Linked DNA regions of Lonchura striata. The protein of the gene in region 1 interacts with the protein of each later gene in a pairwise test. Links are inferred from orthologs where the notes say so. Each region holds a gene or a part of one and is shown on either strand. Other genes may lie near its edges.

The links.
Region 2: the proteins of SAR1A (region 1) and SLC38A7 interact in binary tests that used the Homo sapiens proteins (3 or more experiments, as listed by UniProt). The link is inferred for Lonchura striata from reciprocal best matches to the Homo sapiens genes SAR1A and SLC38A7.

The regions. Positions count from the first base shown.
Region 1 is NC_134609.1:36,612,415-36,628,582, forward strand, and holds SAR1A (small COPII coat GTPase SAR1A), read left to right. Parts: upstream 1-8,423; 5' UTR 8,424-8,501; intron 8,502-8,843; 5' UTR 8,844-8,860; coding exon 8,861-8,918; intron 8,919-9,772; coding exon 9,773-9,892; intron 9,893-10,345; coding exon 10,346-10,411; intron 10,412-10,803; coding exon 10,804-10,907; intron 10,908-11,338; coding exon of another isoform or gene 11,339-11,393; coding exon 11,394-11,525; intron 11,526-12,106; coding exon 12,107-12,223; 3' UTR 12,224-13,113; downstream 13,114-16,168. Other genes in the region: PPA1 (inorganic pyrophosphatase), read left to right, coding at 1,341-1,394, 1,849-1,968, 3,188-3,274, 3,554-3,680, 4,163-4,290, 5,685-5,770, 5,990-6,059, 7,121-7,160 and 1 more; TYSND1 (peroxisomal leader peptide-processing protease), read left to right, coding at 14,210-15,180, 15,264-15,397, 15,466-15,651, 15,739-15,950. UniProt on the Homo sapiens protein: Small GTPase that cycles between an active GTP-bound and an inactive GDP-bound state and mainly functions in vesicle-mediated endoplasmic reticulum (ER) to Golgi transport.
Region 2 is NC_134615.1:16,309,277-16,324,642, forward strand, and holds the start of SLC38A7 (sodium-coupled neutral amino acid transporter 7), read left to right. Parts: upstream 1-8,836; 5' UTR 8,837-8,924; intron 8,925-10,097; 5' UTR 10,098-10,241; coding exon 10,242-10,538; intron 10,539-10,750; coding exon 10,751-10,949; intron 10,950-11,036; coding exon 11,037-11,178; intron 11,179-11,893; coding exon 11,894-11,992; intron 11,993-12,686; coding exon 12,687-12,744; intron 12,745-13,089; coding exon 13,090-13,204; intron 13,205-13,428; coding exon 13,429-13,576; intron 13,577-13,658; coding exon 13,659-13,858; intron 13,859-14,136; coding exon 14,137-14,191; intron 14,192-14,284; coding exon 14,285-14,387; 3' UTR 14,388-15,366. Other genes in the region: GOT2 (aspartate aminotransferase, mitochondrial), read left to right, coding at 620-776, 1,952-2,080, 2,418-2,477, 2,599-2,760, 3,192-3,296, 4,181-4,331, 4,982-5,147, 6,084-6,234 and 1 more. UniProt on the Homo sapiens protein: Symporter that selectively cotransports sodium ions and amino acids, such as L-glutamine and L-asparagine from the lysosome into the cytoplasm and may participates in mTORC1 activation. The transport activity requires an acidic lysosomal lumen.

The DNA.
Region 1 (16,168 bases):
AAAGGTTGTCCCACTCTGTCTGGCCTCCTTGATCCTTATCCTCAGACTCCTAAGACACTGAGAGGATTTCAGATTGTGTTTTTTTCAGTCTCAGGCTGGGCTGTGTTGACCTTACCTGGACCTGTATCATTGCAAAGGGATGCCCTTGAGCTCCTCTCTGTGTGTCTTTGGCCAAGCTGGACCATGGGGAAGCTTCAGTCCTTACAAAGATGCAGCCCCAAGTCATCTTTCCCTGCCTGCAAAGCCAGAAGCTCCCAGCTCAGCCTGTTCCAGTTGCCTCACTCCTTCCCTCGAGTTAGGAATAAAAATAGTTCTGTACCTTTCTACATGCAAAATGCAAATGAGCAGTGACCCCCCTGCAATCAAGGGATTGTAATAAAGCTCTGCTAGGGAAGGGTGTGGGCAAAGTCAGTGATGTAACAGCACTTGTTGCACAGTATCAAGCCAATTATGGGGCAATACAGGTTCGAGGGACTTTGCCATGCTAATACTGCTTAAGGTGGGGATTAGAAACCTGGCCCAGGCCAGGGAGCAAGGTTTGACTTTTTGTTACTAGGCCATAATCTCTTCAAACAGCAGATGTTAAGGTACAGGTGTGGAAAAGCTTGTTTTCTTGGAGAGGAGGCTGACATTGAACTCTCAGGCCAGCTGGATCAACAGGAGATGTTTTCGAGTGTCACCTCTAAATGAGATACAGTGAGATGTGGTTCTGCATTTCTCCCCCACATTTTTATCCTCACACCATGCCACTAGCAATGTCTGCTTTTACAGGAGTGTCAGCCTGGAGAAAGGGCATCCTTCCCTACGTTATTACTAGAATATTTGGGAGTGATGGTCTCACTCATTCAGGGCAGTACATAGATACCTACACTATTTAATAGGTGGTTTCTCATGTTGGTCTTGTCTTTTCTGAATGGCCAGAGTGGCTCTTTCTGGAGCATTAAACACTTTGTATTTAATAAATAAGGCCTAAACCCCATTTTGTTGTGTCCAGGGTAGTTTGTATGCAGCTGTTTGCCATTGATTTAACCTGTTCCTGTAGCCTAGGAATGTGATAGGGATGATTGTAGGTGGCAACTGCTGGAGAACATGTGGGAACTTCAAATCTGGCCTTTGGGGTGTTTTGTGGGATTCAGCTTGGAGTGATGACATGCAACTGACTGGGCTACAGGACTTTTATCAGCTGTCTCAAAATTAGCTCTGAAAAAAGAAACCAAAACAGCAGAACAAACATGGTTTCAGGTGAGCTGGCTGTTTTTTCTGCTCACTTATATGTGTTCCCTAGTTTAAAGCATGGCCCCAAGGTTCCTTCCCACTCACTGCTGTTTTGCTTTCTTCAGAATGTGTTCAACATGGTCGTGGAGGTACCTCGATGGACAAATGCTAAAATGGAGGTAACTACATTACAGTTCCAGCCTTAATGCTTGGCTTTGTCAAGCCCTCCTCAATTCCACCTCTGGAATTGCAGTGGTTTCTACCTGCCAGTTGGTGGTTAGAAGTTAGTGGTTTCTAACTTCTCCTGTGAGAACCTGCTTGATATGGAGGAAATAAACCTGGAAATAAACCTCCTCTGATGTGGAGGCTGAGATTGCAGATGTTGGAATGCTGTGGTGTTCTCACATGGCTTCTGATAAAAGCAATATTTTATGGCTCTTGGCTCCATGTGATTCCAAGGCTTGTAAGTCTGCTGGAAACCAAGGGATGGCAATGCAACAGGAGGTGTCCAGTATCTGCTGCTGGTATCAGCATCATCTCCTGGTCTTTTGGCTTGTCAGTTCCATTAAAAATAAAATCACTTTTTTATTCATAAAGGGTAAAGCAGAGGGATTTATGTAACTTTTCTTTCAGATTTCCACAAAGGAACCCTTAAACCCAATTAAGCAGGATGTGAAGAAAGGGAAACTGCGCTTTGTAGCAAACGTGTTTCCCCACAAGGGCTACATCTGGAATTATGGTGCCATCCCACAGGTACTGTGGTTTATCCCAGTGGATCATCCCTCCTGTTGGGGAGGAGGGAGGGTGCTTGCAATTGCCACTGTATTAATGAGCAAAAAGGTCAGCAGAGAGTCTGGTCTGGAGCGCAGTGAGACTTCAAACAGGCCTGTTTGCCTCTGATGTTCTCTAAGGCTGGGGTTTCCTCCAAAGAAATAAGCTGTCAGTGACAGATCACAGGCAAGCACTCTGAATTCGGTGTTTGTGCTCTTGACAGTAGCACATGTCAAGTGTTTTCCCCACGTGGCTTAACAAGTTGAGTTGTTTCCTGCTTGAATGAATTCTGCTGCTTGTTTCTTTGTGCACAGTTGTGTCTTTTGAAGCCTTTGCTCTGTTATGTGTTTGTGATCAAAGATATTTGTGCATCAAGCGCTTAACATTTCCTGGTAGAGAAATGTGATAGGGTTTGTGAACAGCCCCACAGCACCACCCAGGTGTCAGAACATCTTCCTCACCATTCTGGATGCATCACAAGGTCCTGACTACACTAGTCCCCCCAGAGAAGTTTGGGAGGAACTTTCTTTTTTATATCTCAACACCCTTAGGAGTACATGTTCCTTATGTGGGAATGTGCTTTTCACTCCTGATCAGGAGCGTGTTTTAAACAGCCCTTGTTCTTGGAGTCAATTAACTGGCCTCTGGAGTCATGTCCTTCAATGTGCATTCACCACTGTGGGTGAGATGCACTGGAGAGCACAGTGGGACTCCACATTCTTATCACTTCTCCAGGGTTTTTAATTGTTTAATTAAAGGGAAACAATACACCCTGTCTGTCTTCCTTCTCTGCTGGATTGCTATCTCGAGTTCAGGAAACTTCTGCTAAGGAATGAATAGGGAGAGGAACAGGCAGGAAGCCAAATCAACAATTGCCCTTTATAGATGTGAACTTCACCTTTACACAGCTGTGGGACAGGGAGGAAGTCTGGAAAGTTGTTGAAAGGGGCTTTGTGGGTAGGAAGGGGCTGCTTAGCTTTTGGAAGATGAGACCTTTTAACTTGAATTCAAACTCCCCACGCCCAAGGGAAACAGTAGCCCAAATACCTGACCTGGCAGCAGGTGTGAAGTGGGCCATCCTCTGTTTATTCCAGGCAACTGCATGCCCGAAATAAACCTGCTTTTTACTACCTCTTTAAACCTGCGAGTTCTTATTCTTATGTGTAGTTGATTTTGGTGTTGGTTTGGGGTTTTTTTTCAGACTTGGGAAGACCCAGGTCACAAGGATGAAAATACTGGTTGCTGTGGAGATAACGATCCAATTGATGTCTGCGAAATTGGAAGCAAGGTAGCGCATCCTAAATGACTCCTGAAACGTGTAATTAATGTCTCCAAAGCCAATTATTCAGGGATTATTATTCATTTCCTACCCCTCCTCCCCTTAACAATGTGATGTTTCCCTCTGCTGCCTCTGGAGACTGTTGCTGCGATGAGCCAGGGCTGATGAGCTGCTGACAGCCAGAGCTAATTTCATGGTACCTGGCTGCTTGCTGAGCCCCTGCACAGCCTCCTGTCGTGCACTCCTGGGTGCACTAGGATGGACAACAAGGCCTTTGTCCTTTTGCAGGTCTGCTCTCGGGGAGAAGTCATCAAAGTGAAGGTGCTGGGCACTCTGGCTCTGATTGATGAGGGAGAGACAGACTGGAAGGTCATTGCTATCAACACTGAAGACCCCGAAGCAGCCAGCTACAATGGTGAGTTACAGGGGGGGGGAGCAGCATCAGTGCTTCCCTTCCTCCCCTGAAAACCTGCAGGAGGTGGGGACAGGGCTTGCTCCTTCTGTGCTCTGCTATCAGTCAGATGTGGTGCTGGAAGGACAATCCTAGAGCAAAACATTTCATTGCAGTTTGGCACATGTGGCCAACCCTCGGCACAGCCTGGCATTCCAAACACAGTGGAAGAAAAGGGATTGTCCCCCCAGCCTCTAATCCAAACTGTTTAAATGTGTCCCAGCTCCTGGGGACACTTGGGATACACACCCTGGGGATGAAACACTAACTTCCCTGAGGACATACTCACTGAGGCTTCAGGGAACCTTTCTGAAATGTTGCTAAGGCTGCTTGGGGAGGGGCTGAAAGAGGCACAGCCCAGAACAACTCAGCAGAGCCACATAAATTCTGTAATTCACTACATTCTGTTACTGTTTCTGGCTAACAAACCTCATGTCCCCTTCCAGACATCGAGGATGTCAGAAGGATGAAGCCTGGATACTTAGAAGCTACTGTGGACTGGTTCAGAAGATACAAAGTACCGGATGGAAAGCCAGAAAACCAGTTTGCTTTTAATGGAGAATTTAAAGGCAAGGTAGGATCACCTTCCTTTGCACAGTGGCACCTGGCCCAAAACCTGAGCTCAGGCTGCGTGAGAACACGAGCAAGTTGCTGAGATAATGGATTTTTATGGGGGTGCTGATAGTTGATTTCAGTTCATCCTGCTGGTTTTTTCCATCCTAGTGAATACAGGAATACCAGGAAAAAAAAAAAAAAGCCTGGGGTTATCCCCATGGTGTCATTGAATATTTTTTTCATGTGGGATCATTTGAGGGCTGGGAGCCTTCGTGTCAGAACCAGGTGGAAAACACCAGGTTTATTTCCTCCAGCTGTGGAGCAAAGGCAGCTTGACATCACCCTTTGCCTCCCTTACCTGTGGACTTTGTTCCACTGCAACCTGGTGCAAGTTAAACTTAACTCAGGAGTTAAAACACTTCTTGCTTCAGGCATGAAGTGTTCCCTCACACCCTGTGAGTAAGGCTCTGCCTTGGCAGCACTCTGCCTCTTCTCTGGGTTGGATCAGATAAGTTACTGCTCCTGAGCGGGTGAAATCCTGTTTTGGTGTCCTCACTTCTGCCCTTCCTGGAGTGCCATGAGGGGTTTAGTGAGGTGACTCAACTCCTAGGGCTCCAGAGATGGTGCAGAGGAGGGGAGTTCTTCCAAAAGCCCTCTCTGGGAAAGAAAATGGAAGTCGTGAAGGACTTGTCCCCTTTGGCTGTAGCACAGCACTAGGCTGGTCAGGCTGGAACACCTCGTTGCCCCTTAGGATGGGTGAAACCCATCAAGGAAACTGGAAAATCAGGATACAGAACTTCACACATGCTCTGCAGTGTTTTATTTGGCTTGGTTTGGTATCAAACCAGGACGTTTAGTGCCAGTGTTCACACCAAGAAAGGACTGCATGTGTTTCCTTCTCCAGCTGACAGGTTAATGCTTGAGCATATATTGCTCATTTTTAAGGGAAGAGGTTGATATGCCTGGAAACAAATTCATTTTTAAGTAGTTGCAAAGCCTGATCAGCTGCATGTCTCTTCCTGCTGGTCTGAATTATTTGCCTGGAGTGGAAGAGAGCTCCTGGACAGGCCCGGATCAACAAGCTGCTGGAGACAAACCGAGTGGGAGGAGCAGCAGGGTGAAGGTGCTTTTATAGTGGAGCACTAGCCCGAGACTGTGCTCAGTTTCTTTTGGCCCCAAGCTTGCTCTGTGACCTTGGCAGATCCTCCCATCTTGGAAGCAAAACAACAATTCTCCTACACAATCCTGGTTTTTTCAGCTGTTGTGTCCTGGGAGTTTCTGCTCTTCCTGAATGGCACTGGAGCAGAAGAGGTTTCTTCCAGCCCCTTCCAGAGCATCTTGTTAGTGATAGTCTGGAGAAGGTGATCTGGTGCTTCCAAGTAACATGATGTTTGTTCTCATTTCCAATGTCAGGATTTTGCCCTGGATGTCATCAAAGGCACCCACGAACACTGGAAAGCTTTAATAACAAAGAAAACTGACGGAGGGGAGATCAACTGGTAGGCTAATGCTTGTGGGAATGTGCACCTTCCCCTTCCCTAAACTAAAACCCCTGGAACATCACTTCCTGAGGGGTGCCATGCTTTCTGTTAGCTGCTGGCTGTCTCCCCAGGCCTTCCTCTTCCACTTGGCAGCTGCAGTCCTTAATATTCCATTATTTAATGCTCCTGGGGGGAGGCTAGGCTTGCACATTCTCACAAGTGCCCAATGTCTTCCAGCACCAACCTGACGGTGTCCGACAGCCCTTTCTGCTGTAGTCAAGACTGTGCAAAAGCTACTGTGGATGCAGTAAGTACCAGTTTGAGTGGCCAAATCCTGGTGTTATTGTTGGGAAAAACGGTGCAGTTTGTGTGGTGAACTGTCCTCTCTGTGTGAATGGCACATGGCATGCTCACAGTGTTTTGGGTGGCTGAACACCTGCTTCTGGTTAAACAGGGTGGATGTGGAGCAAACCAGACATTCCTCCCTGCCCTTAGTCATCCAAGAGATGGAATCCCAAACGGAGTTTGCGTGGAGGGCTAAACTTCTGAGCTGTAGCTTGGTTGTCAGCTGTTCTGAGAGGGTTTTAATATTTGGGCTTCCAAGAGCTTCACAGTACAGGTCTCCCTCTGAGAAAAGAGAATCTAATTCCCCAGGGATTTTGCAGCTTCAGAATGAAGAGCTTGATATTCCAGGTGTAGTTCTCCTGTCCAGCCTCAGGAATTAATTGTGTCTCCCTAGACTTGCAGAGTACTGCTGTTGGCAGCCTGAAAGGGCTTAGAGGGGAGGGGACAGGAAAATTGAAGTGCACATCTTGTCTCTCTTCCATAACTGGAAACCTGGGTCTCATGTAGCCTTGGAGAGACCTTTAAAACCATTGTGTTCTTTTCTAAAGTGCTGGTATCCCAATTAGGGGTCTCATCAAGGTTTTTGAAAGCCCTCATGGAGGATGTGTCACCAGACAGGGATTTGCACTGTCTTTGCTTGTTGAATACCAGAGAAAGCTCTTCAGAGGAGTTCTCAGAGAGCCCTTCGTGCCTCTATTCCCCCATAATTTTTAAACCAACGTTGTAGATTTAAAAAAAAATCCAGGACTGCCTGCAGCTGTGTAGAGTCTGGAGTGGGAACTGCTTGTGCTGGGGGTCAGATGGCCCTGGAGCCTGCACTTGGAGGAGAGCCCCTCGGGCATCTCCGGAATGGGGAGGCTACAGGAATGACCGGATGCTGCACATGAGCTCAGATGTCCCCCCCACAGCTGACCAGCTGCCACAGGGGCTTAAATGGTGCTCAGGAAAGACTTGTGCAGCCCTAAATGATGTGTGGAGAGTGAAGGACACCTCTGGTCTCTGATAACACCCTTCTTGTTTCAGGCACCACCGTGTAAAGCTGCCAGCCCCATCCCACCCGAAGGTGAGCCTCAAAACCCACCCTGACATCCCAGTACACAGCAGGGGCTTCCTCAGAGGAATTGTGCATAGGAAAATGAGGGTGTGAGGTAAACCTGGATGTTGCTGTAGCCAGGGCAAGGCCCGAAGGCAAACAGGGTGGTGTTGGGAGCAGAAGGTGGAGCCAGGCTGACACTTCCAATCTCTTCATGGGGAATAAATCTGTGGAGAAATGTGTGTCTCCCATGTGGGCATGGGAGTTGGAGGCTTTGCCTCCCTGAGTCAGCTGAGCCAGAGGGAAGCCTGGCTTGCTGTCCTTGCCTGCACCAAGTCATGAATGCTCCTAATGGCAGCCTGAGCAAGGCTGGCTGCTTTGGGAAAACAAATCCACATAAACAGGGTTGTGCCAGAACCTGTTTGCTGTGCTGAGGAGCTGTTGCCAGGAGCAGAGGAAGCCCCTGAGCTGGAGGTGACACACACACACTGCCACGTAACTACTTAATAACTGGGTGGCTCACAGGGGACTAATCCCCCCTCCTTTTTTCTGCCCCACACAGTTGACAAATGGTTCTACTACCAGAAAAACTGAGTCCCGAGGATGGTGGTGAGACAGCTGTGTCCTTCCCACCGAGCTGCTGCCACACGCAGGAATAGACCAGAAAAATAGCTTCAGTGTCAGCAAGACCTTGCCTGTAACTTTGCTGATTAGAATTCTGTACCTAGCAGTGACATGTCTGCTGAGGCCTGGTGGAGGCTGGAAGAAATAATTTATAAAACCCGAACACCCTGCTTGTGACTGTCATGTGGTGTGCTCTAAGTCATGACAGGAGATCACTCACCTGGGATGTGTATGGATGCTAGAAATAAAAAACTACTGAAATCCAGTGCTGTGGGGCTCCCTCTCCTTTTCGTCTCTGGAGCTGAGGGGTCACAAAATCGCAGGATCCCTCGGGGATCATGGAGTGCGGCCTGTGGCCGGTTCCCCACCCGGGTACCGAGTGTCCCTCAGACACTCCGGGGATGGTCACGCCTCCCTGGGCCCCCTCCAAGTCTCGCCGCCCTTTCCGTGGAGGAGTTCCTCCTCGTGTCCCGCCCGGAGCAGCTGCACAGCACGTCCTGCCCGCTGCCCTTTGTGGCGAGGCGGGGTTAAGGGGGTAGCTGAGGGCCGCGTCCCCGCGGGGCCGAGGCCGGTCTCGAACCCGGGACCCCGCGGGGCGCGGGCGGCTCTCGAACCCGCGCCCTCCCCGGTGCCGCGCGGGGCCAGCGGGGCCGGAAGCGGGCGGGGCGCGCGCTGACGCGTTTCCGGCGGGGCGCTGGCGGCGGCCGCGGACGGGACTCGGCGGCGGCGGCCCGGGGGCAGCCGGGGGTGAGCGGCGGGGGCGGCGGCCGGGCCCGGCGGGGCGCTCAGCGGGGCGGCGGGCGCCTGGCAGGCCCGGGAGAGGGGCGGCGGCGGCGCGGGGGGTGACACGCAGGCAGAGCGGGGGCGGGGCGGGGGCCAGGCCTCGCCGCCCGCCCTTGAGGCCGGCCCCGCTCACCCCGGTGGCCCCTCACCCCCCGTCTCCTCTCACCCCCGTTCCCCTTCGCCCCCGCTCCCGCCGACCCCTCCCGTTGCCGGGACCTCCGACCCCCCCGTCCCGGAGGCCGTGACCGCGGCTCCCTTTGAGCACCGACACTTCGTAACGCGGGGTTTGGGATTTGTCCCCCGCAGGCATTTTATTTCCAGAGATGTCTTTCATCTTCGAATGGCTCTACAACGGCTTCAGCAGCGTCTTGCAGTTCCTAGGTAATGCCTCAGCAGCCCCCTCCGGGTGGGTTCGGCTTCTCCGGTTCCCAGTATCCCATAAAAGTCGGGGTTAAGGTGGTGTGCAGCAGCTCTGGCCAGTGCAAAGTCTGGTGAGGAATCTCTGTATCAATAAAAGGGCTTTTACACTGGTGCAGAGAAACTTTGGGAGTATTTGGAGGCGTTGGGCTCCCACTCAGGTGTTTCTCTTGCCCTTTGCATGCCTGAGAGCAGCTAGGCTGTCCAGCCCCAGGCAGAGGTGCTGCCTTGACAGGGAGGGAGCCCCATCCTCCTCCTCCTCCTCCTAGAGTCCTGGATTCCAGTGGAACTCCTTGCTGGAGGATAGGGTGCCCATTCTCATGATCCTCTCTTGAAAGGAGGATTAGAGGGACAGGGTGAGAAGTCCTGTTGGAAACTTTTGGGAGCTTTCCTGTGGCAGACACAACAAAAATCAGTTTATGCCAAGAAAACAACACTCTGTTCCCTGCTTTGCACTTTTTCCTGGACAACTCGCTGCTCTCTTTTATGAGTTTGTTCAATTTTAACATTTTCTGAGGAGGCAGATTGGTCCATAACACTCTGCTGCACGCTGTCCTCTGCTGCTAGTACAGATCTGAGGAAAGAATGGAATTCTCAGGGGCACACGAGCTTAGGAAATGTCCATTGCTGTGAGCATGCCTTGGAAGGAGCCTGTTAGAGCTCTGTGTGTTTTCCCTGCTGCCCCGTGTCCGTGCTGCAAGTGTGCACAGGTGGCAGCAGAGCTCTGGGAAAGGACTTCCCCAAAAAAGCAGCGTGGCGTTCTGGCTCCGGACGAGCCCGCTGGAGCTTTCCTCTTGCTTTGTTCCCTCTCCTCGCAGGTTTGTACAAGAAGTCTGGAAAGCTGGTTTTCCTGGGGCTGGATAACGCAGGGAAAACCACTCTGCTGCACATGCTCAAAGATGACAGGCTGGGTCAGCACGTCCCCACGCTACATCCCAGTAAGTCTCCCTGGGAAAAGCCTCCCGGCCTGGCTTTTCCTCTGGAATTGTGGGGACATGGTGTAGGAAGACACCTTGGTGGCAGCTCTGCCTGGGGGATTTGAGGGTCTTAAAACTTGAGCTGAGGTTGCAGCTGCACTGTGCTTACCCAGGCTGAAGTGGGTCTGTGTTTTCCTCTCTAGAAATGCCCAGGAACTGGTATGGCTCAATTAGTAGAAAGGGAAGATTTTCCTAATGGAAAGTCTAATAAGGGATAATAATTGCAGGTTAAAAAGCTGTGGGAAGCAGGAGAAATTAGTTTCTGCCGCTAGTGATTTTGGGAAATGGCTGCATTTCAGCCACTGAATTCCACAAGAAGTTTAGGGAATTCCTTATTGGAAGAGCATGTGTGATGCCAGCATGAATGCCCACCTTCCTTGTTTTCCTGAATCCCACCTGTGCTTTCCATTTCAGCATCAGAGGAGCTGACAATTGCTGGAATGACCTTTACGACTTTTGATCTGGGTGGACATGAACAAGGTGAGGAAAAAATGACCAAAAATTGATCCAGACGAGTGTCAGCAATTAGCAGTGCCTAATTATTTGTTGCCTGGATTTATTTATGGAACAATACGTGGAAGCAACCTCCTGGCTGTAGGATTGCTTGGAAGGAAATGCTGCCAGTTCATGCCCTGCTGCCTGGAGTATTTTTAGCTGTGGAAGACTGCAATATAATTTAGTTTGAATAATTGATGGATTTTTAGTTATGTACTTTCTAGAAGTTTTAAACACAGGTTTTTTGCCCTTTTATACACAAAACTACTGGAAGGAAGACAGCCTGGCTAAAAAGGCAGCCATGGTTGCTGAGGCTTGGTGGATTTTTCCCTGTGTGGAGATTTCACAGGGCCATGTTTGTCCCTTGTGTTTTCCAGCTCGCCGGGTCTGGAAAAACTACCTGCCTGCCATCAATGGGATTGTCTTCCTGGTGGACTGTGCAGATCACTCACGGCTTATGGAATCCAAAGTTGAGCTTAATGTAAATACACTTCTCTTGTTTCCCTTCTCCAAGACCTGATCAGCTAAATTATGAATAACAGCCATCTCTCCCAGAGCTGGAGGAGCCTGGATGTCCTTGCTCTGGGTTGGCCACAGGCACTTGAGTTCAGGGGAGGCTCAGCTGGGACAGCAGCAGGAGCTTTTCCTTTCTCCATGGAAAGGCTGCTCAGGCCTTGGCAGGGCTGCCCAGGGAGCTTTGGAGTGCCCATCCCTGGAGGTGTCCCAGGAAGGGCTGGAGGTGGCACTCAGTGCTCTGGGCTGGGGACAAGGTGGGCACTGGGCACAGCTGGGACTCTGGGCTGGCAGGGATTTGCCAGCCTCAGTGATTCTGTGAGTCTTCCACAGGAGTATGGAAGCCCCAGAAAGGAGCCCTTGTTGGTCACAGAGCTCAAACAAAACCGTTTTCTTCAGGCAACGACTCCTTTTTCCACCTGTCTGCTCAGCTCTTGTTGGCTCTTGCATGCAGGCGTTAATGACAGACGAGACAATATGCAACGTGCCAATCCTTATCTTGGGAAACAAAATCGACAGACCAGAGGCCATCAGTGAGGAGAAACTGCGGGAGATCTTTGGGCTCTACGGACAGACCACAGGAAAGGTAGGGAAGCATCCAAATCTTGGATTGGCAATGGGGAGAGCTTGCCTGCTTCCTTGCAGGTTGAGCCCTGATTGAGTTGTGACTGGGAATTTGTCCACTAATTGGTCAAAGTCAATCAATGATAATAATGATGATGTGCCTGAAGGGAGCCAAGGAGAGAGACTGTTTAAAAGCCATGGAGCGGTGGGACAAGAGGGACTGGCTTCCCACTGCCAAAGGCAGCTTCGAATGGGAAATTGGGAAGAGATTCTTCCTGTGAGGGTGGGGAGACCCTGGCACAGGCTGCCCAGAGGAGCTGTGGCTGCCCCATCCCTGTTCAAGGCCAGGTTGGACGGGGCTTGGAGCAGCCTGGGACAGTGGGACCGAGCAATGGGGTGGAATGAGGTGATCTTTAAGGTCCCTTGTAACCCAAACTTCTGATGCTGCCCTTGGGCAAGTTTTGAGGCTGCCGGGATTGTCCAAAATGCAGTGCACACACAAAGGGGCCTGCAAAAGGAGCTCCCCTGGATGGCTGTGGCTCGCTGGGTGCTTCCCTGAGGGCACCAGGGGTGCAGATGTGACTCCTCTTTGGATTTCCCCAGGGAAATGTGCCACTGAAGGACCTGAATGCGCGCCCCATGGAGGTGTTCATGTGCAGTGTGCTCAAGAGGCAAGGCTACGGTGAGGGCTTCCGCTGGCTATCGCAGTACATTGACTGATACTGGCACGGACACGAGAGTTTTACTCCTCTGGACTGATCCTGTTCACTTCAGCTTCCTATGGACTTTTCTATTAGAACGTGGAAGGCTTTCCAAGCGCATACTGGCATTGTCCAAGAGACTCCTGGTTTTCCGGCTGCCCTTATGGCACAGTGGTGACACCACTCTTTTCCACGCGGCGGGGAGGCAGCGCTGTTCCTGAGTTGTCCCTGCCACTTGGGTGACAGCGGGGCTGCTCCAGGCTGGGAAGGCAAAACTCTGCACGCTGCGATGTAACAGCTGAAAAAGAGAGCACGTCTCACCACTGTGGTTAATTGACTTCAAAAACAAACAAACAGAAAAGGAAAAAGTGATTCTATTTTTTAAAGAAAGTGTTAATGTAAATGACGTCCCTTCTAACTTTTTAGTTTAACGTTCATCTTGTTTAGTCCAGAGTCTGGTTTAGGGTTTTTTAAAAATATATTTAACGGTATTTAGGTATTTCACAAATTACTGAACCAAGGTATCACGATATTAGAAGTCCTCAATAAACATAGCATTTGGGCTTAACTGAGCTGTAGGGTGGCTGTGCTGTGTCACGCTGACCGACGACAGCGCGGTGCTGTTGGGACTGAGGTGTGCAATCCCAGCTTCTTTAGTTTACAGGGAATTTTTTTTTTTCTTTTTACTAGTTGGGGAGGAGCACCTGGTGCAGGTGCTGAGGCTGGTGTGTAGTGGGAAGGGACTGCCTGGTTCCCCCTCAGGCCAGACCCTCCACTGAGGATCCTCTGGCCACGCCATCACAGTACGAACCACGGAGCAGTTTTGGTTGTTGTAGCATGGAAGTGTTTGACATTTGCATATCATGAGGTGATTAATGTAGACTAAACTGGTTTCTTTTATACTCTCAACGGACTTTTTTTTTTTTTTTTTGTCTGAAGTTTCATTGCTGTCTGGCACTCATTTTCAGTTCAATAAAGACATGTCTTTCTCCACCGAAGGGGCAATGAGCCTCAGTCTGGCTTGGTGTTTGCTGGGCCTTGGGGCCATCAGAACACCAGCCACAGAATTCCATAAGCGTTTGGACAACGCTGTCAGGCACAGGGTGGGATTCTAGAGGCTGTCCTGTGCAGGGCTAGGAGCTGGACTAAATCCTTGTCACTTCCAACTCAGGATATTCATCCAATGGTTCCATGGTCCTGTGACCTGCACAGTGCAGCCAGTGAGGGAAACAGGCAGGATGGAAGAGCCGCTTGTCTCCGGGCTGGCATCCAGGGAGAGCTCATGGCTTGCAGGGCTTTGCTCTTGGTAGAACAAACCCACACCGAGCCCAGACAGCCGGGAAGGGGCTGGGGGGGAAACGGGGAGGGGGGGTCTGACTCCCGGTATTCGGGGGCGATTTTAGCTGTTCCAGAAGGATTTTCCCAGTCCCGGTACCTCTGTTGGAAATAAAAGTTTCGTACTCGTTGGTGCTGCGGGTGAGGTGGGAAGCGAGCGTGGCCGTGGGGTGTCCGGGCCGAGGGTCCCGGGAACGGGGCGCGTGTGCCGGTGTCCCGAAGTGCAGCGCTGGGTCGTGGTGGGCGAGGGGCGGCTGCGGGCCGAGGGTCCCGGTTCTCCCGGGGCCGAGGGGCGGCTCCAAAGCAGGCATTCCTGATGTGCCGGGGCAGCGGGGCCGGGCCGGGGCAGCGGGGCCGGGGCCGGGGCAGCGGGGCCGGGGCAGCGGGGCCGGGCCGGGGCAGCGGGGCCGGGGCCGGGGCAGCGGGGCCGGTCCGGGGCAGCGGGGCCGGGCCGGGGCAGCGGGGCCGGGGCAGCGGGGCCGGGGCCGGGGCAGCGGGGCCGGGCCGGGGCAGCGGGGCCGGGCCGGGGGCCGCGCACCCCCGGTGAGGGCCCCGCGGGGGCGCGCCCGTCACGTGCGCGCTCCGCCCCGGCCAATGGGGAGGGCGCGGCGCGGGGTGGCAGCCAATGGGCGCGCGGGGCGGGCGCGGGGGCGCGGCGGGGATGGCGGCGATGGCGGCGCCGCCGTGCTGCGCGGTGCGGGTGCGGGGCGCGGGCGGCGGCGATGGCGGCTGCAGCGGGCTGGTGCTGAGCCGCCGCCCCGCGCTGGTGCTGTGCCACGCCGCCGTCTTCGCCCCGTTCCTGCGCGCCGGCCCCCTCGCCTGGGCGCGCCCCGCCGCGCTGCTGCCCGACGCGCTCCGGCCGTGCCCGCGCCTCAGCGTCGTGCTGGGGGCCGCGGCCGGCGGGCTGCGGGAGCTCGATGCGCGGCTGCTGGCGCTGGTGCCGTGCGCGGCGTTCCGGCGGGCGCTGGAGCGCGGCCTCGGGCGGGCGGAGCGGTGGCGGTTCGGGGCCTCGGAGGACGCGGGCACCGACCCGCGGGCGCTGCCCTGGTTCGCCTGGCTGCGGGTGCCCGGGCTGGACGCGCCCGAGGGCGGCTGGGCGGCGCGGACCAGCGCCGGCTGCCTGCGCAAGGGGCAGGCGCTGCTCGCCTGCGGGTCGCCTTTCGGAGACCTGTGCCCCGAGCTGTTCCTCAACACGCTGAGCCGGGGCGTGGTCAGCAACCTGGCGGGCGAGGAGAACGCCCTGGTGCTCACCGATGCCCGCTGCCTGCCCGGCACTGAGGGCGGCGCCGCCTTCGTGCCCTCGCCCGACGGGCCGCGCGTGGTGGCCGTGATCGCCGCCTCCTTCTGCTGGAAGGGCGCCGAGTGGGTCGGGCTCACGCTGCTCTGCTCGCTCGCCGCCATCCTGCGCAGCAGCGCCGGCGTCCTGGGTGAAGCCGGGATCGTGGTGCCGCCGGTGCCGGCGTGGGTGGCCGCGGTGCCAGCGAGCAGCGGGCAGGATCCCCTGGGCTGGACGGCGCTGGTGGAGTGCGGGGCGACCTGGGGCTCCGGGGTGCTGCTGGCACCAAGGATGCTCCTCACCTGCCGACACGTCGTGGAGGCAAGAGCCCCACTCTACGTGACACCGGCAGCCGGCCCCGACCAGTGAGTGCGGCTGTCCCCCTGCCAGCCTTAACCCCCGACCCTGCGTGTCCCCCGCCATGACATCTCGTTAACCGTGTCCTTAGGGATGTCGCCGTGCTCAGGGGACATGTGGTGTTTGCCACCGAGGAGTCATCCCCCTTTGATGTGGCCGTGGTGGAGCTGGAGGAGAGCGTGCCAGGCTTTGTCCCACCGTGCCTGGCCAACACCTTCCTCCCAGGTAAGCACTGGGGGGACACGGGCTGTTAGGTAAGGACTGCCTCGCACCTGCTGCCTCTCCCATCCCAGGAGAAGAGGTGAGCGTGGTGGGCTTCGGGGCGCTGGGGCAGGCGTGCGGCCCCTCGGTGACAGCAGGGGTGCTCTCGGCCGTGGTGGCTGTGGCTGGGCGCCCTGTCATGCTGCAAACCACCTGTGCCGTCCACGGGGGCTCCAGCGGTGGCCCCCTCGTCTCCTCCCGCAGTGGATGCCTCATGGGTAAGCCAGGGGTCTCCCCGTGGGCAGGTGGGGGTGGGCATCCCCCGGCCAGACCCAGTGATGTGGGCATCACTCCCTCCCTGCCAGGCATCGTGGCCAGCAACACGCGGGACACCGCTGTGGGGGCTACCTACCCCCACCTCAACTTCTGCATCCCCATCACCATCCTGCAGCCGCTCGTCGCATGCTACTGCTGCACTGGCGACCCCGCCGCCTTCGCCGAGCTCAACCGGGTGGGTGAGGGGGTGAGGGCGACTTGGCAGCTCCAGCAGAGGCCAGGACTCCCCAGCAAGCTCTGACGCCCCTCGTGTGAGGCTTGTGCCAGGGACCGAGGTATCAGGGACTGAGATGCCAAGGATGGGGCTGCCACATCTGCTCTTCAGCCCGGTGGTGTGGGGCCCAAGCACCTGCACTGCACAGAGCCAGTGGAGCATGGGCACTCTGGGGCAGGGGATACAGCACAGTGCCTCTGACAGCTGCTGACAGCCCCAGACTGGAGAAGTTTGGGGTCTGTTAT
Region 2 (15,366 bases), on another chromosome or scaffold:
CGGGGAACAAACTGTCTTCCTTCTATGATTTCCTGGAAAACAGCATTTATCTACAACACCAGGGGAGGCAGAGTTTGTAGGGCAAGGAATGGAAATACCTTTGTTCTATTAGCCAATGTTGGGAAAAAAAAAAAAAACCAAAAAAAACCACAAAAAACAAATTAGTTTTAATGTATTACAGCCTTCCCAGGAGTTTGGAAGATACTCCATATTCATGCTTTTGTGCAATTGTCTGGGTCTGGCCAAGGTTCCCTGGAGGGGAATAACCTGTGCAATCCCACATGCAGGCTCTGGGCACTTGTCCAGAGCATAGGAGTTCAAGGCTTCAGTTTCCTGCGCTTTGTGGTGTTAGCACATAAGGCAAACAAGAGCATTTCAACATGCAAATGACTGAGAGGGAGTCAGTTATCTTCAGCCACAATGAACTGAGGCTCTTTACCCATTCTGCAATATACAGTGTGACTTAAATGGCTTGGTTTGTTTTTTTGGATAATTCTCTGAACACTATTTGTACCTTTTTCAGTGGTTTAAAGACAAGATTTCCCTTGGGGGTTTCTGTTGGTGCACATCTCTGCCCAGTTCTCAAGCCTCATGCTTAGCTTCTTGTTTCTCCCTTTAGCTCATGGTGGTCCCATGTGGAGATGGGTCCCCCCGACCCCATCCTGGGGGTGACAGAAGCTTACAAGCGTGACACCAACTCCAAGAAGATGAACCTGGGAGTGGGGGCATATCGGGATGACAACGGGAAGCCGTATGTCCTGAACTGTGTTCGCAAGGTGAGCTGGGTGCTGGCTGCTGGGCAGGGCCAGATCCAGGTGCCAAGTACCCTGAGGGAGTCAGGGAAGGGGAAGGTCACTAAGCAAATTTTGTCTGTTGATCCTTAAAATAAGCTCTGTCTCTAACAGAGCAGGACAGTATTCCTGGGTGTTTCTCTTAGCAGGACTAATGCTCTTGAGACATGAAGAGCTGTTAAGTAGTACAGGACAAAATAGAAAATACATGTCCTGTTCCCATTCAGGTAACTCTAACTCGTTGTTGACTTCTATGAGCCCTCCAATGCACTCTGAATTTCAAGGTGTTTCTTGAACAGGCTGGTGTTCTTTAGGGCACCCACAAGGGAGGAAGGAGCTGACATTGGCCCCTTAATGGATTAGTCTTAGAAATTCTGCTGAGCCGATACTACCAGTTTCTCCATAAGCCAGTCTAAAACTCCAGCCCAGGGAGCTGGGTGTGGACATTGCCCTTGAAGGGATTATGGGGTCTTTTAGGGCTGTAGGGGTAGAAATAGGCTGTTAAATAGCTGGCAGTGGAGATATGCATTGATTGGCTGCATTAACAGGGAGGGTGCAGGGAGAGTGCCTTTTCCATGTGTCTCATCAGTGTAGGTTTTAAAGCCATCCCTTGCCCTCCCTCTCTGTGCAGCTGGGTCACAACCAGGGAACATGGATGGTGTCACAGGGACAGTTTCCTAGTGGTATGTGAATGCTGCCAGGGTCTGTGCCACTTCCAGCATGACAACACCCTGCAAAAGGTTTCCTACCCTACGTGGTTTGGGGATGTCTTCCACAGAGAGAGATGATATCTGCCTCTCAGTAACACTCAAGTCTTGCTTTCTTGCAGGACAATTCCTGCTTGAGCAGAGAAGTGTGTGTCCTTGTGCAGCAGCATTGACTTGTAATGGGCTGGAAGTGGTGCTCTCTTCTGATGCCAGGTTTCTGTGGTTCCACTGTACCAATGCTGTCACCCACTGAGGGCTCTGGTGGCTTTGGGGTTTTATCTGAAATGTTTACTGCTGCCCCTTGCTGCCCAGGAATGAGCCCTGCAGGGAAACTCCTGTAAACCAACCTTTGCCCCTTTCGAGCAAGCAAATGTGCAAAGAAGTGACCTTCAGCTGTCCATCACTCTCTGCACGGTGATGCCTTCCTTGCTGAGCTTGTGTTCTCCCTTCCAGGCGGAGGCCATGATAGCATCCAAGAAGATGGATAAGGAGTACTTGCCCATCGGGGGACTAGCGGATTTCACCCGAGCATCTGCAGAACTGGCTCTGGGGGAGAACAGTGAGGCTTTCAAGAGCGGCCGGGTAAGGAGAGCCCAGGGCACAGGGGGCAAGGACACGTGGTGGGTATTGAGGGCTCAGCAAATGTGGAAGAACTGGTGGGGTATTGATGCTTCTGAGTCATGGGCTGGCTGGCCCCAAGGATCACTGCTTCCTCTGAAGGCTGGGGTGAAACAGTGCTGTCCAAGAAGGGGAGGGGTCCCAACTCCCTGCTATGGAGCTGGAGCTGCTGACCCCTGTGGTTCCTCCAGCCCCTTGTCCCTGTTTTGTGTGCTGCTGCCAGTCATGACATGGTGACTGTGCTCTCCCTGTAATACAACACGTCTACTCAGACTCAGATGTATTTTTTCTTTTCTTGCAGTATGTTACCGTGCAGGGTATTTCTGGGACTGGATCTCTGCGAATTGGAGCCAACTTTTTGGTGAGTGCCTGGCCAGCAGTGGAAGGAAAGGATGTATTTTGACCAGAGCTGATTTTTTATGGTTTTCTAACTGCTTGAATTTATACAACTTGTTTGAACACTCTGTCTTTCTATTGACCAGCAACGGTTCTTCAAATCCAGTCGTGATGTGTATCTACCCAAACCGTCCTGGGGTAATCACACTCCCATTTTCCGTGATGCTGGCATGCAACTTCAGGCTTATCGTTACTATGACCCCAAGACATGCAGCCTTGACTTCTCTGGAGCCATGGATGACATTTCTGTGAGTTGCCTTCTGTGCCTGGAAGAAGGGAGGTCATGTGGGGAAATGAGTGGTGATATTACTTTACCCTAAATGTGATGATGAGGCATGAAGCTGTGTCGGGGAGGTTTAGTCTGGATATTAGAAAAAGATTTTTTTACCCAGAGGGTGGTTGGGCACTCAAAACGGGGTCCCGAGGGAAGTCTGCCAGGCTTCAAGGAGTGTTTGAACAATTCAGGCACATAGTGTGGTTCTCATGATTGTCCTGTTCAGGGCCAAGGAGTTGGACTCCCTATGGGTCCATTCCAGCTCAGAATACTCTATCATTCTATGATGCCTGAAAGCATTAAATCAAGGCTAGAAGCCTCACAGAGCTCATCTAAGCTGTCTCATTTGCTGAGGAGAGTGGTCAGATATCATCAATTATTCATTCTCTATAACATCTTCCTTAGAAAATTCCAGAGAAGAGCATCATCCTCTTACATGCTTGTGCTCACAACCCCACTGGGGTGGATCCCCGGCAGGAGCAATGGAAGGAGTTGGCAGCTATGGTGAAGGTAAGCAATGTCCCAGGGGTACTGTGCCATTCCTGGGAAAACCTCATCTCTGGCCTTTCATGGGTGGCACCTGGTCTTCTCTAAAGATTATTCCCGTCCCTGAAGCCAGGATGGGTGTCATGTTCCTGACAGGAGCCAGTCAAATGTACCCAGGAAGCTTCTAGCTGGCCATTGGGCTTTCTGCTGGCACCTCTCCAGGAAGCTGGAGTAGGGAGACCTGAAAGGAGAGCAGCAGGGTTGAAAGCATGAGCTGTGATTGCTAGAACGGAGTACCCAGTGCTGGTGTATTAAAAATGCTGGAAGATCTCTCACATGCTTGGTGTCTCATTGCAAGCTTCAGCTGCAAATAGATTGGGACAGGTTCTACCTTCTCCTCCTTCCTGCTGCTCCATCAAGCCTGTAGCCGGTGAAATTTGGCTTGGAGATACCAGGCCTTAATAGGGTCCTGAGAATTGGTAGATATCAAAGTGATCTCTGTGGCCTACAGAAAGGTAGCTCTAAGGGGCAGTGTATCTGGGGTCTCTGCCTAGCTGACTAGAGTTCCCAGGTGATTTTCCTGGAAACTGATGATACAGAAGACATTGAAGTAGACTATTTTATTGCTGTCGAATTTACTTCTGCTTCCTGGGCCAGACTTGCACATCCCATGGGTGGAGGGATTTTCAGCTCCGGAGGATCTTCAGCTGCTGTTTTGATGTGTGCTGGGTAGCTGCAGGTTTTGGAGTGCTTTCCCTGTGGTGAATGAAGGGGAACAGTGCTCTTTCTGGAGGAGAATCGCTGCAGGTGGACAGACTGCTGTCTGCATGGCTTTTCTCAGCCTGCTAGCCCTGCACCTTGGAGGAGTGCTCAGCTTCTGTGACACTCTCTTCTATCTTTGCTGGCAGAAACGAAACCTCCTCGTGTACTTTGACATGGCCTACCAGGGCTTTGCCAGTGGGGACATCAACCGGGACGCCTGGGCTGTGCGGTATTTCATCGAGCAGGGCATCAACATCGTCCTGTCACAGTCCTTCGCTAAGAACATGGGGCTGTACGGTGAGTAGGGCACGTGGTGAGGAAATAGTTTAAACCAGGATGCTGCTGGGATCCCAACACCTTCAAGGTTTAGCAGCCAGTGTTTTCCTGCTGCCTGTGTTCATCCTGCAGGGATAACCCAATAGGAGCTGGTGGAGACGCTTCTAGAGAACAGGGATCCACTAAAGCTGTGTGGTGTTGGGTGCAACAGCATAAGACAGATAGAAAGTTTTCAGAGAGTGTCCGAAAGAGACTACAGAGATGGTGAATGGTCTAAAAGAAAAGCCATAAACGGAGCAGCTGAGGACACTTAGCTTGCTCAGCCTGGGGAAGAAAAGACTGAGGGCAGAGCTCATCACAGGCATCAGCTTCCTCTCAAGGGGCAGCATCTGCACTCTGCGACCAGTGGCAGGACCCAAGGGAATGACATAGAACTGTGTCAGGGAGGATTTAGGCTGGATATTCGGGAAAGGTTCTTAACCTAAAGGGTGATTGGATATTGGAACAGGCTTCTCAGGGAAGTGGCATAGCATAAGCCTGACAGAGCTTAAGGAGTGTTTGGGCAATGCTGTCAGACACAGGAATTGTGGGATTCATGGGGTTGTTCTGTGCAGGGCCAAAAACTGGACTCAATGATCCTTCCAACTCAAGATATTCTGTGATTCTCTTAGGAGAGCGTGCGGGTGCCTTCACAGTGATCTGCAGTGATGCAGATGAAGCCAAGAGGGTCGAATCACAGCTGAAGATCCTCATCCGCCCCATGTACTCCAACCCACCTGTGAACGGAGCACGCATTGCATCTATGATCCTGAACACCCCTGACCTACGGAAGGAGTGGTAAGAAGAAATCTGTAATGTTCATGACAGTGAGATCTCTTTGTTCAGCCTTGTGCTGCGCTTACTGTCTGCTGCTGTCACAGGCAGCTCTTAGCTTCAGCAACAGTCAGAACCATGTTTACTCTGGATAAATCCTTGATTATGTCCTGGCATCAGCTGGTGTCAGTTTAACCTGGCACAAACAGGTTTTCCTTGTGTTAGCAAGGAAGAAAACTCTGTAAAGGAGGGGATAAAGCTCCCATAGGATTGAGGGCTGCAGGAGCTGCCTATCTAAGAAGCCTAAATGTCTGACGTGGTATATAGCCATGTAGTGTGTCTCTTGAGGGGGAAGTGGAAGCAGAAGCCCCCTGGGAATGAGACCCAAGAATGTAACCCTCATTCCCTAAGCCTGATTCCTGGTGTCAGCCTGTGCTGTTTTCCCAGCCCCTTGGTGCCAGGTCCTTCCCAGCAGCTGGCCTGGCAGAACAAAGGTTGGCAGTGTGCTGTGGCCTCACTGGGGGCTGTGTTCTTTTGGCAGCCTGACACTTGAGCCTGATCCAGGGCCCGGTGGAGACATTTCCTAGCTGTGTTGCTTTGGAGCAGGGCCTGTTTTGCCAATGTTAGCCCTGCACGCTTGGTTTACCTGTAGATACTATTTTATCTGGGTTTGAATAGTGCTGCCATGAGGCATCCTACTGACCTGTGCCTTTCAGACGTGAGAAATGTCTACATTCTAATAGTAGTGTCCAACAGCAATGGAATAAATAAAAAGAGATCACCTTTGAGTATCAGGAGAAAGAAGCAGCTTTTCCAGCTGGAGCTCCTTCTTCATGCTCATCTGCATCTCCCTATGGAGCCCCTCTAGGTGGAGAGGTTGATTTTCAATAGCTGGGGTGGGGAGAACAGCATTGGTGTGTTCCAGCCCTGCTCTCAATGGTTCCTGGGTTGTCTCCTCAGGCTCACAGAGGTGAAGGGCATGGCTGACCGGATCATCAGCATGCGGACTCAGCTGGTGTCGAACCTCAAGAAGGAGGGATCCTCCCACAACTGGCAGCACATCACTGACCAGATCGGCATGTTCTGCTTCACAGGGCTGAAGCCTGAACAGGTAAACACAATTCCAGTGGTCTCAAAGTGTCATTTGCAGTCCTTGTCAGTAGGTTTTTGACTACAGATGCCAAAAGGAACCCTTGAAAGCACTTCTTCCTCAGAAAGAACATCCTCCAAGCCCTAAGCAGTGGCACATCATGGGGACCCCAGTCTTGCTCTGTTCCCTGCTGTACTTGGGGAGGTTGAAAGTAAATGTAGCTGTCATGTCTATCAAAGCAAGCAATCACTTGGTGCTGCTGTGAAGTGATCTTAAAGGTCAAGTGAGGTGACTCTTCCAGCTGAACATCTGCAGTGTTGCTGCTTAGCCTGAGAGCTGAGCAGCATCTCTCTTGGTGCACAGGGTACTCTGCAGGTAGTGGGATGCCCTGTCTGCTGGCAGCCAGTTTGCTTTGAGTTTCAGCAAGCTGGGTAAATTTGCACTTTGCTGACACAGGAAAGGTTGGTCTGCAGTTTGAACTTTGCTCTTTCACCCCAGGTGGAGCGGCTGATCAAGGAGTTCTCAGTCTACATGACAAAGGACGGACGCATCTCTGTGGCGGGAGTTACGTCAGGCAACGTGGGTTACCTGGCTCATGCCATCCATCAAGTCACAAAGTAAAGACAAAGGGGTGCCCTGGAGCTGGTGGCTTTCCCTTCCTCACCAGTCGAAGATGAGGAGGGAAAAGAAACAAGCAGAATACTTCAACCACAGCACTTGAAGCCGCTGCTGAATGTATCTTGTAGATGAGTTGTAGAAGCCTAGTCAAATCCACCCTGTGTTGTGGAGCAAGGACATAATTGCTGGCTCCTGCTCATCACAGCCATTCTTCCCTGCTGTCCATCCTTTCTTCATCAACCCCAGCACCTATCTATGCTGGAGGAAACAAATGCTTACAATGCCATCCTACCAGTGTAGGCACCAAAGGCTTCTCCGCACACATTTCTCCATGAGAAGGCTTTGTGAGGCTTTTGGCTGCTAGCCCAAGCAGCAGCAGGCAGGGAGCTGGGTGGGCTGAGTTGGAGGTGTGGTCCTCCAAACTCCTCAGCCAGTCCCTGCTGCCAGCAGGCTCCATCTTCCTCCATCATCCCAGCCTGGGGCTGGGCAGCACCAAAGCTGTCCTGACAACCAGCTCTGAGGACTTCTCACTACCAAACTCCGCTCTGTTGTTGGCTTCACTCTTTCCATCTGGGACTCTCCTTTCAGGTGTAATTCACAGTGGCATCAGTGCGTGGGGCAGACCTCCCAAAAGGTGTCCCTCTTTTAAACCTGTCTCACTTTCATACCTGGAGGTGAAACAATTTCTCTCACCCCCTCCCCATCCCCAATAAGAATTTCCTCTGAAAACTGCTCTCTGGTGGTCTCTGCCTTGCCCCATTCCCGTCCTAAGCCCAGCAGTCCAGCCCTATACCCTCCCTGCACTCTTTGTTGAGTGTCTCAAAGCCGTAAGCCAAGAGGCTTGGCCCTGCAGTATTCCACTCACGTGGAGGTGTGGGGCATCCCTCTCTGGTCTGTACAACCACATTTCTGGTGACACCAAAAAAAGTGATCTTGAGAGAAATCTGAGAGCTGATGACTCAAAAACCATTCTGTCCTAAACCAAGTGTTCCTGAGGTCCTTGACCTACTGGACTCCGATTTTTAATCCAAATAAACTGGTGCATGGCTATGTTGAACTGGGGAATTCATCCTGTCATTGTGCAACTGGATCCTGTCCCTTCCATGCACCAAACAATCCCTCTCAGGACCATTCTAGCACAGGGGATCTTATGTGACCAGTGAACTCCTGAGAATTCCATGTAGAGAGGCAGTTCCCACCAATGAGCCCTGGGAGCACAGTGTGTGTGAACTGAGATTGTCCAGGTGCCATGGAGCTGAAATTTAGGCCTATGTTGTTGAATATAGGTGTTGCTGGCAAGAGGACAAATTCCCAAAAACTGTCTGCCTTGGGACATGGGCCCATCTTTGGCCACTGGCCCATGATGGAGTGGAGCCTCCCTAGGCGGAGCTGGAGGCATTACGTCTTAAGTCTGTGAGCTGTCTTCATCCACTGGCACTTCTTCCTTCTGCAGCTGTACCAGGGTATTTAGCAGGGCAGTCCTCATTTCCCATTCCTGCCCAGGGCAACTGTGTGCCTGCTGGAGCTGGGACAGGTCCGGTCTGGTGCACCTGTCCGGGTCTAGTGCACCTTGTTGCCACACTTGCTGGAAGGCTGGATCCTCCCGCTGCTCCCTGACAGAAGGTTTCCGCTCCCACACCGCATGTTTACTGGCCCGATGCCCACAGCCGCTGCTTGCTGTCCTTTGTGCAATAAACCGCTTTCCATGCCGCACACGCCGTAGGTGCTGCCCCACGGGGCTGTGGGTTCCTGTGCTGTGGTCCCCGGTTCTGCGTGGCTCTCGAGCTGCCGCCTCCTGTTACCCGCGTGGGGCGTTCTCCTGCTCGTTCTCTGTACAATAAAAGCACCCTGGAGCACAGCCCCGTCTGTCGCCCTCTCCTTGCCGCGTGTCCCCGGAGGCTCAGCCCCTGGGAAGGGTTACCCGAAGGGGGATGTTTCCCCTTCGCTGATGTTCCCCCGCCTCCGGGGCTGGACTACAACCCCCGGCGTGCAGCGGGCAGGGCGGAGCCGCCGCCGCGCCGCCGCTGCCGCCGAGCTCAGCCGGGGCTGGGGCCGGGGCCGAAGGGAGCGGAGCAGAGGGCGCTCCCCGCCTGGTGAGTGGGGCCGGGATACGGACGGACCGGGGGGACACATGCGGGGAGCCCAGCGACCGGCTGGCACAGGAGTCTGTGCATCCCGTGCGAACGCGGGCTGACCGTCACCGGCTCCGGGCCTTGCTCCTCCGGGCCGGGGGCGCCGCCGGGGCCCGAGCGGGGCCGCGGGTCTGTCGAGTCACCCTCGGTGAAGCGCCTGCTCTCGGGATTTCTGGTTGTCAGAGTATGGCTGCTCTGCCTGGACGGAAAGGACACCCTTCAGCATCCTCCCCCAGGCCATGGGAGAAGCATCGACCCCTGCAGCATCCTCACCCGGGTGGGAACTTCAGCCCACGCAGACCCACCGGTCCGTCCCTCCACGGTCCTACACACGGGGCACAGGGTGGCCCTTCCTCCCTTTCCCCAGAAATCTTTACAGAAGATTCATAGTACAAGCACAGAGTTTAAATAGCCCAGAAGCAAGGAGTGAGCTAGGCAGGTAGAGTCTCTGTAGATGTCCTCTAGGAATAAAAGCCAGATTTTCTTGAAAAGAGATTTCCCATGGTCATGTAGATTCCTACAAAATCCTGCCAGGTTGTGAGGGTCAGTCTCCTCCTGCTTGGAGACACTGGGATGAGATTTGGGCTTTCCAACCCCCAAGGGCTGTGATGCTGGAAACATCAGATCTTCAAATCCAAAAGCTTCTGAGACATCATCTCCTACTGGTTGTCAACATAGGGGTGCCCTGGAAGGGGCCAGTCCTGCTTTTCCTGTTGACACAGTATTTCTGCTGCACACAAGACATTCCTGTTGAGCCCAGCCTTGCCCTTTACTCAGAAGCACGTGCACAGCTGCTCTTGCAGAGCTTGCAGAAATTAGGGTTGGAAATCAGGAAATGAGCTATGACACTGGGTCTCATGCCCACAAAAAGGCAAGTCCTGCTGTGAGGTTGCAGCTCCTCAGCCCCAAGGCCAGGGCTCAGTCCCCTATCCGACAGCAGTTGTGTCCTCTCCCTGGATTTGAGGGACAAGAGGTAAGTTCTGCTTTATCTCTGCTGGCGTGTGTGTGTGCTGTGATCCCCTGAGCTAAGACCCAGGAACTCAGTTCCCCTGTGCCCCCACCTAATGCCGAGATTGTCCCTTGTTAATATAATTTAACTAACATTTAACAGTGTCATTCTTCATCCCCTTGTAGGAGTAAGGAAGTGCCTGATTCCTGGTTTGCTGCATTCCAGCCTGTTTGTTTGCTGCCCTTCCTGCCTGATGGAGCCAGCGCTGGCTGAGGACCCTCCTCAAGGTGCCCGGCTGAGCCTGGTGCTGGACCACTAGTGGGACGTGGATGGTGGTGTGTGCCACCTGCGAAGGGACAATGGCTCAGGGCACTGGCAGCATCAACAGTGACTACAAGGATTGGGAGTGGAGTGACGATGCCGGTGAACGGGCCAGGCTCCTGCAGAGCCCTAGTGTGGAGACAGTGCTCAAAACTTCAGAGATCCAAGGAAACAGTTTGGGGGCCACATCAGCTCTGGGAGCGGTCTTCATTGTGGTCAACGCTGCCCTTGGCGCTGGGCTGCTCAACTTCCCTGCCGCCTTCAGCATGGCTGGTGGCGTGGCTGCAGGCATCACCCTACAGATGGTGAGAGAGTGGGGAAGGACAGTCCCCCATCCCATCCTGGGAGAGTGCATGGGAGGGACATGTGGTGCCCCCGTAAGGGCTTGGGGAGGACCAGACTCCTAGGAAGAAGCTCGTTTGGGTGAGGTGCACCAGATTCTCAATGTATTGAAGGGTGGCTGCCTGGGGTAGCCATATTGTTGGCTCAGTGTTCCCCCGTCTCTCTCCCATCCCAGTGCATGCTGATCTTCATCATTGGAGGCTTGGTCATCCTGGCATACTGCTCACAGGCCAGCAATGAGCGCACCTACCAGGAGGTTGTGTGGGCCGTCTGTGGGAAGGTGCCTGGTGTGCTGTGCGAGGTGGCCATCGCTGTCTACACCTTTGGCACCTGCATCGCCTTCCTCATCATCATCGGAGACCAGGAGGACAAGAGTAAGAGCGTTCCGTGGAGCAAATAATAACCAGTTTTTGTCCCTTCAGCTGGAAGGGCCAACCTGACCATCTTGGTTGTCCCCACAGTCATTGCTGCTCTGGTGAAGGAGCCTGAGGAAGTTGGGAGCCACTGGTACACAGACCGCAAGTTTACCATCAGCATCACCGCTTTCCTGCTCATCCTGCCCCTCTCCATCCCCAAAGAGATTGGCTTCCAAAAATATGCCAGGTAGGCGGAAAGAGCCCTCTGGGCTGGGAGTTGGGGTGGGCCAGCTAGCACCCACTTAAGCATGGTTGTAGAGGACAGGGACTGGAAATGCTGTGGTTCTAGTGCCACATCTGTCCACTCACCTTCTGCTTTCCCACGCCTCAGTTTCCCCATCTGGGAAGCAGAGGAGTAGCTGAGCACCGTGCAGCCATAGTGTCATACTTCAGAGCTTGTGTCCCTCCCTTCTGCATGCTGGAGGAAGCATGGAATGCTGCTTTCAACTACATTGTCTCCTATCTTTTGAGTTGGCAATCCAGCAGAAAGGATAGCCACTCAGTGTCCCTAGGCTGGGTGATTTGCAGGCCAGCTCTGCTCCACCAGAAATCTTGGTGTGACCTGGCTGCTGGGGCTGGACCAGCAGGGGCACCAAGGAGTGTCACTGCTTCAACATTTGCCTCTTTCTCCAGCCAAACACCCAAGTCTAGCAGGTTTGCCGCTCACAGAAGGATGGGATAACCCCCAAATGCAACCAAATTGTGTTGGCATCTGCTTGGGGAACAGTGGGTGACATTTCCTGGTATTTTCTCATGGGAAGGAAAAGCAAAAATGGGTCTGATAGGTAGGAGGGGGGTAGCCTGGGCTGTGCAGGGCAGAAGATGGGAATGGAGAGGGTGGGAGGATACCCTCCATGAAGTGGGGAGGCAGAGCACTCACAGCCTCCTATCATCTTTCAAAGCTCCCTCAGTGTGATTGGCACATGGTATGTCACCGCAGTCATTATCATCAAGTACATCTGGCCTGACAAGGAGCTGGTGCCTGTGGAGATCCCCACCAGGTGAGAGCAAGAGACATGATGGTGTCGGTGCCATCATAGCACTGCAGAGCCAGGCAGGGCTGTGGGAGCAAGGGCTGCAAAGGCTAGGGGTGAATCTTTCATCAGTCCCATCGCTGGTCCTGTGCACTATGCATGTTGCTGCCAGAAGCTCCCAAGTGGCTGCACCTCTGCCTGTTTCAGAGGAGCAGATGATGAAGAGGAGGAAAAGGACCTCTTAAACGTCCCCCATGGCTCCATCACAGGTTTTGATAGCACTGATTGTCTTTTACCTCTGACATATCCAGGCCCTGGATTCCCTGTGCAGTGCTTATGCTCACATCAAGGGCTGTGTCTATATTTGGATGATTTTGGTTATTTCTTTAGCCAGCACAACCACTGTGGCTTATTCCCTTCCTCACAGTGTATATTTTTGGATCCAATGCAGGAATTTTATGGCAGAGCAAAGGTTAGACCAGTTTTTTGCACTGCCCAACTAGATCCTTATTTTTTACTGATACTTTTACTTTTATGTGCTCAGGTTTGGCTGTTTCTGTCTCAGTGAAAGGCCCTGTTCTTCCATGCAATGGTATCATCCTGGGTGGGGGGATGCAGTAAGGCAAAGACACTGAGCACTCCCAACTCATCCTCCCCTGGGGCACTGGATGGGGGTCACAGAGGATTCTGGTCTGACTGACGGAGGTTTCTCTCCTGCCAGCCCCTCCAGCTGGACAGCTGTCTTCAATGCCATGCCCACCATCTGCTTTGGGTTCCAGGTAAGGCCATGAGCTTGGCACTCCCCCTTCCATCCTATGGTTGCTTGGGTGACAGACTAAAACCCTGCCTGTGTAATTCGCTGGTTGATTGGCTAAAACCCTGCCCATGTGCTCAATGCACAGTTTTACAAGGAAACTGAAACCTTTTTAACATCTCACCACCTCTGAATGGAGAAGGATCCATTTTACCCCAGCTAGAACGTACAGGGCATCCTGTACCTCCAGCTTTTCTTCTCCAGTGACAAACCTGGAGTATCACAATATCACAACACATGCTGAATATCACGAGTAGGATGCCCTGTGGTCTGGCCATCATGTATCCCCACTGTCTCTGTGTCCTGGCAGTGCCACGTGAGCAGCGTGCCCGTCTTTAACAGCATGAAGCAGCCGGAGGTGAAGACCTGGGGGGCAGTGGTGACAGCAGCCATGGTGATTGCTCTCTTCGTCTACACAGGCACTGGTAAGTGAGGGGACACCGTGTGAGTGTGGCACAGTCCTTGGAGTGGCTGTGAGCTTCAGGAGGGCAGGGACCCTCTGGTCAGCAAGGGTCAGAGGGAGAAGGGAGGAGAGTCCATCGGACACCTCTGCAATGTGCTCTGTGCTATATCCATCTAAGTCTGGTCCTTCAAACAGATGTTCAGGAGACTTGTCCTTCTCCCCTGCTGACTGCTCCTTTCCTGACAGGCATCTGTGGCTTCCTAACCTTTGGAGCTGGCGTGGAGCAGGACGTCTTGATGTCCTACCCCTCCAATGACATCCCTGTTGCCCTCGCCCGGGCTTTCATCATCCTCTGTGTGCTGACGTCCTACCCCATCCTGCACTTCTGTGGCCGGTGAGCGCTGGGAGAGATGGGGCTGATGTGGGAAGGAGGAGCAGCACAAGGAAACCCCTCTGTCCTGGGTCTGTGCCCACAGGGCTGTCCTGGAGGGTCTCTGGCTCCGCTATACCGGGGTAACAGTGGAGGAGGACGTGGTTCGGGAGCGGAGGAGGCGCCTGCTTCAGACCATCAGCTGGTTCCTCCTGACACTCCTTCTGGCTCTTTTCATCCCTGATATTGGCAAAGTCATCTCTGTCATTGGGGGCTTGGCCGCCTGCTTCATCTTTGTCTTCCCAGGTAGGGCATCCTGTGATGCTTAGGGGCTGACAAAGCTCTCATGGCCTTGTGTCTCAAAGAGGGAGGGACAGGATGGAAACACAGGAACCAGGAGATTTTTAGAGGAGGACAAAAATGTGGTGTGGGGCCAGTCAGCAGCCCAACTATTTTGACTGGACATGGAGCTCTGTAACAGGGAGTGCAGCTTCCTCTTTTATAGGATGTCTGTTCAATCCCCAGTGGATAGTTCTCAGTGGATAGTTCTCATCTGGTTCTAATGTGCCTTCCCTACCTTTCAGGGCTCTGCCTGATTCAAGCCAAGCTCTCTGAGATCCAAGAAACCAGGGCAATCAGGTAACTGAAATGTGCCTCCCCTCTCCCCCATTCCCCTCAGGATATTGGGGTGAAGGACCCCTCTAAATACTCCCTGTCCTCCTGCATCCACAGCTGGTGGGCCCAGGTCAGCTATGGGGTGTTCATGGTCACCCTTGGAGCCTTCATCTTTGGACAGACTACTGCCAATGCCATCTTCGCGGATCTTACAGCCTGACTCCTCCAGGCTGGACTGCACTGCTGCTGCTGAGGGGATGGACATTTCCCCTAGGACCAAAGGGAAGTGGGAAGAAAACATGTTGGTGTGTTGGGAAGATCCAAAAGAACCGTTGTGACTTGGGGCTTGGCTGAAGAAGCCCTGTGGTGGTTTGTATCTCATTGTCTTAAGGCTGCAGGCAGTCAGGCTTCTCTCAGCCCTGGCTCCCTGGTGAAACCAGAGCAACACTACAAGGGGACCTGTCATCCTTCTGCCCCTGGGAGTAGACATCACTCCCTTAGACATCACTAAGGGGTCGTGGCTGGGGTTTGCAAAGCCATGCTGCTCTCATGTATGTACCCTTGTTCTGGTGGAGCTCCTCTCCACAGCTAAAAGTCCTTCTCCCAACTTTGCAGAGAGAAGCAGTGTTCTGCATAAAGGGAAATAGTAATCATGTTTATCAGACAGGGAGACACCCCATAGTCCTATTTTGTGTCAATGTTTGGTTTGAGTTCTGGTTTCCTGCCGGTCTCCTGCCCCTACGGTCACATCTCCCTCTGCCTGGGCTGCACTTTTTTACAAAGGGTTGCCTTCAGCCTGTTCAGGTTTTTTCGTTTGAGGATCAGAATGCCCCTAAGGTAGGGACATGCCAGTGCATTGTTTTCCTTGCCAGGGGTTGCTCACTCAGTAGAGAAGCTGCTATGGCTGCATCAACCTACTGAAGACACTACAATAGAGCAATGCTCTTCTCCAGATTTACAATCCCGTTCTTCCAGGTGTCCAGGAAATGGGACTGGGCCAGGTTTTAAGAGATGCTTTTGGGATAAAGCAGTCAGTATTAATTTGTTTTATATTGTTCTCTTTTTCATTTACACTCTGTGTGGCTGGTGTTGCTCTGGGCTGTCCCTCTGTTGCCTGTCTGGATGATAGTTTCATTCCTGCTTTTTCTGGGTTGAGCAGTTCCCCCAGCTGCAGATTTGGTTGGGAGCGTTAAACCTCA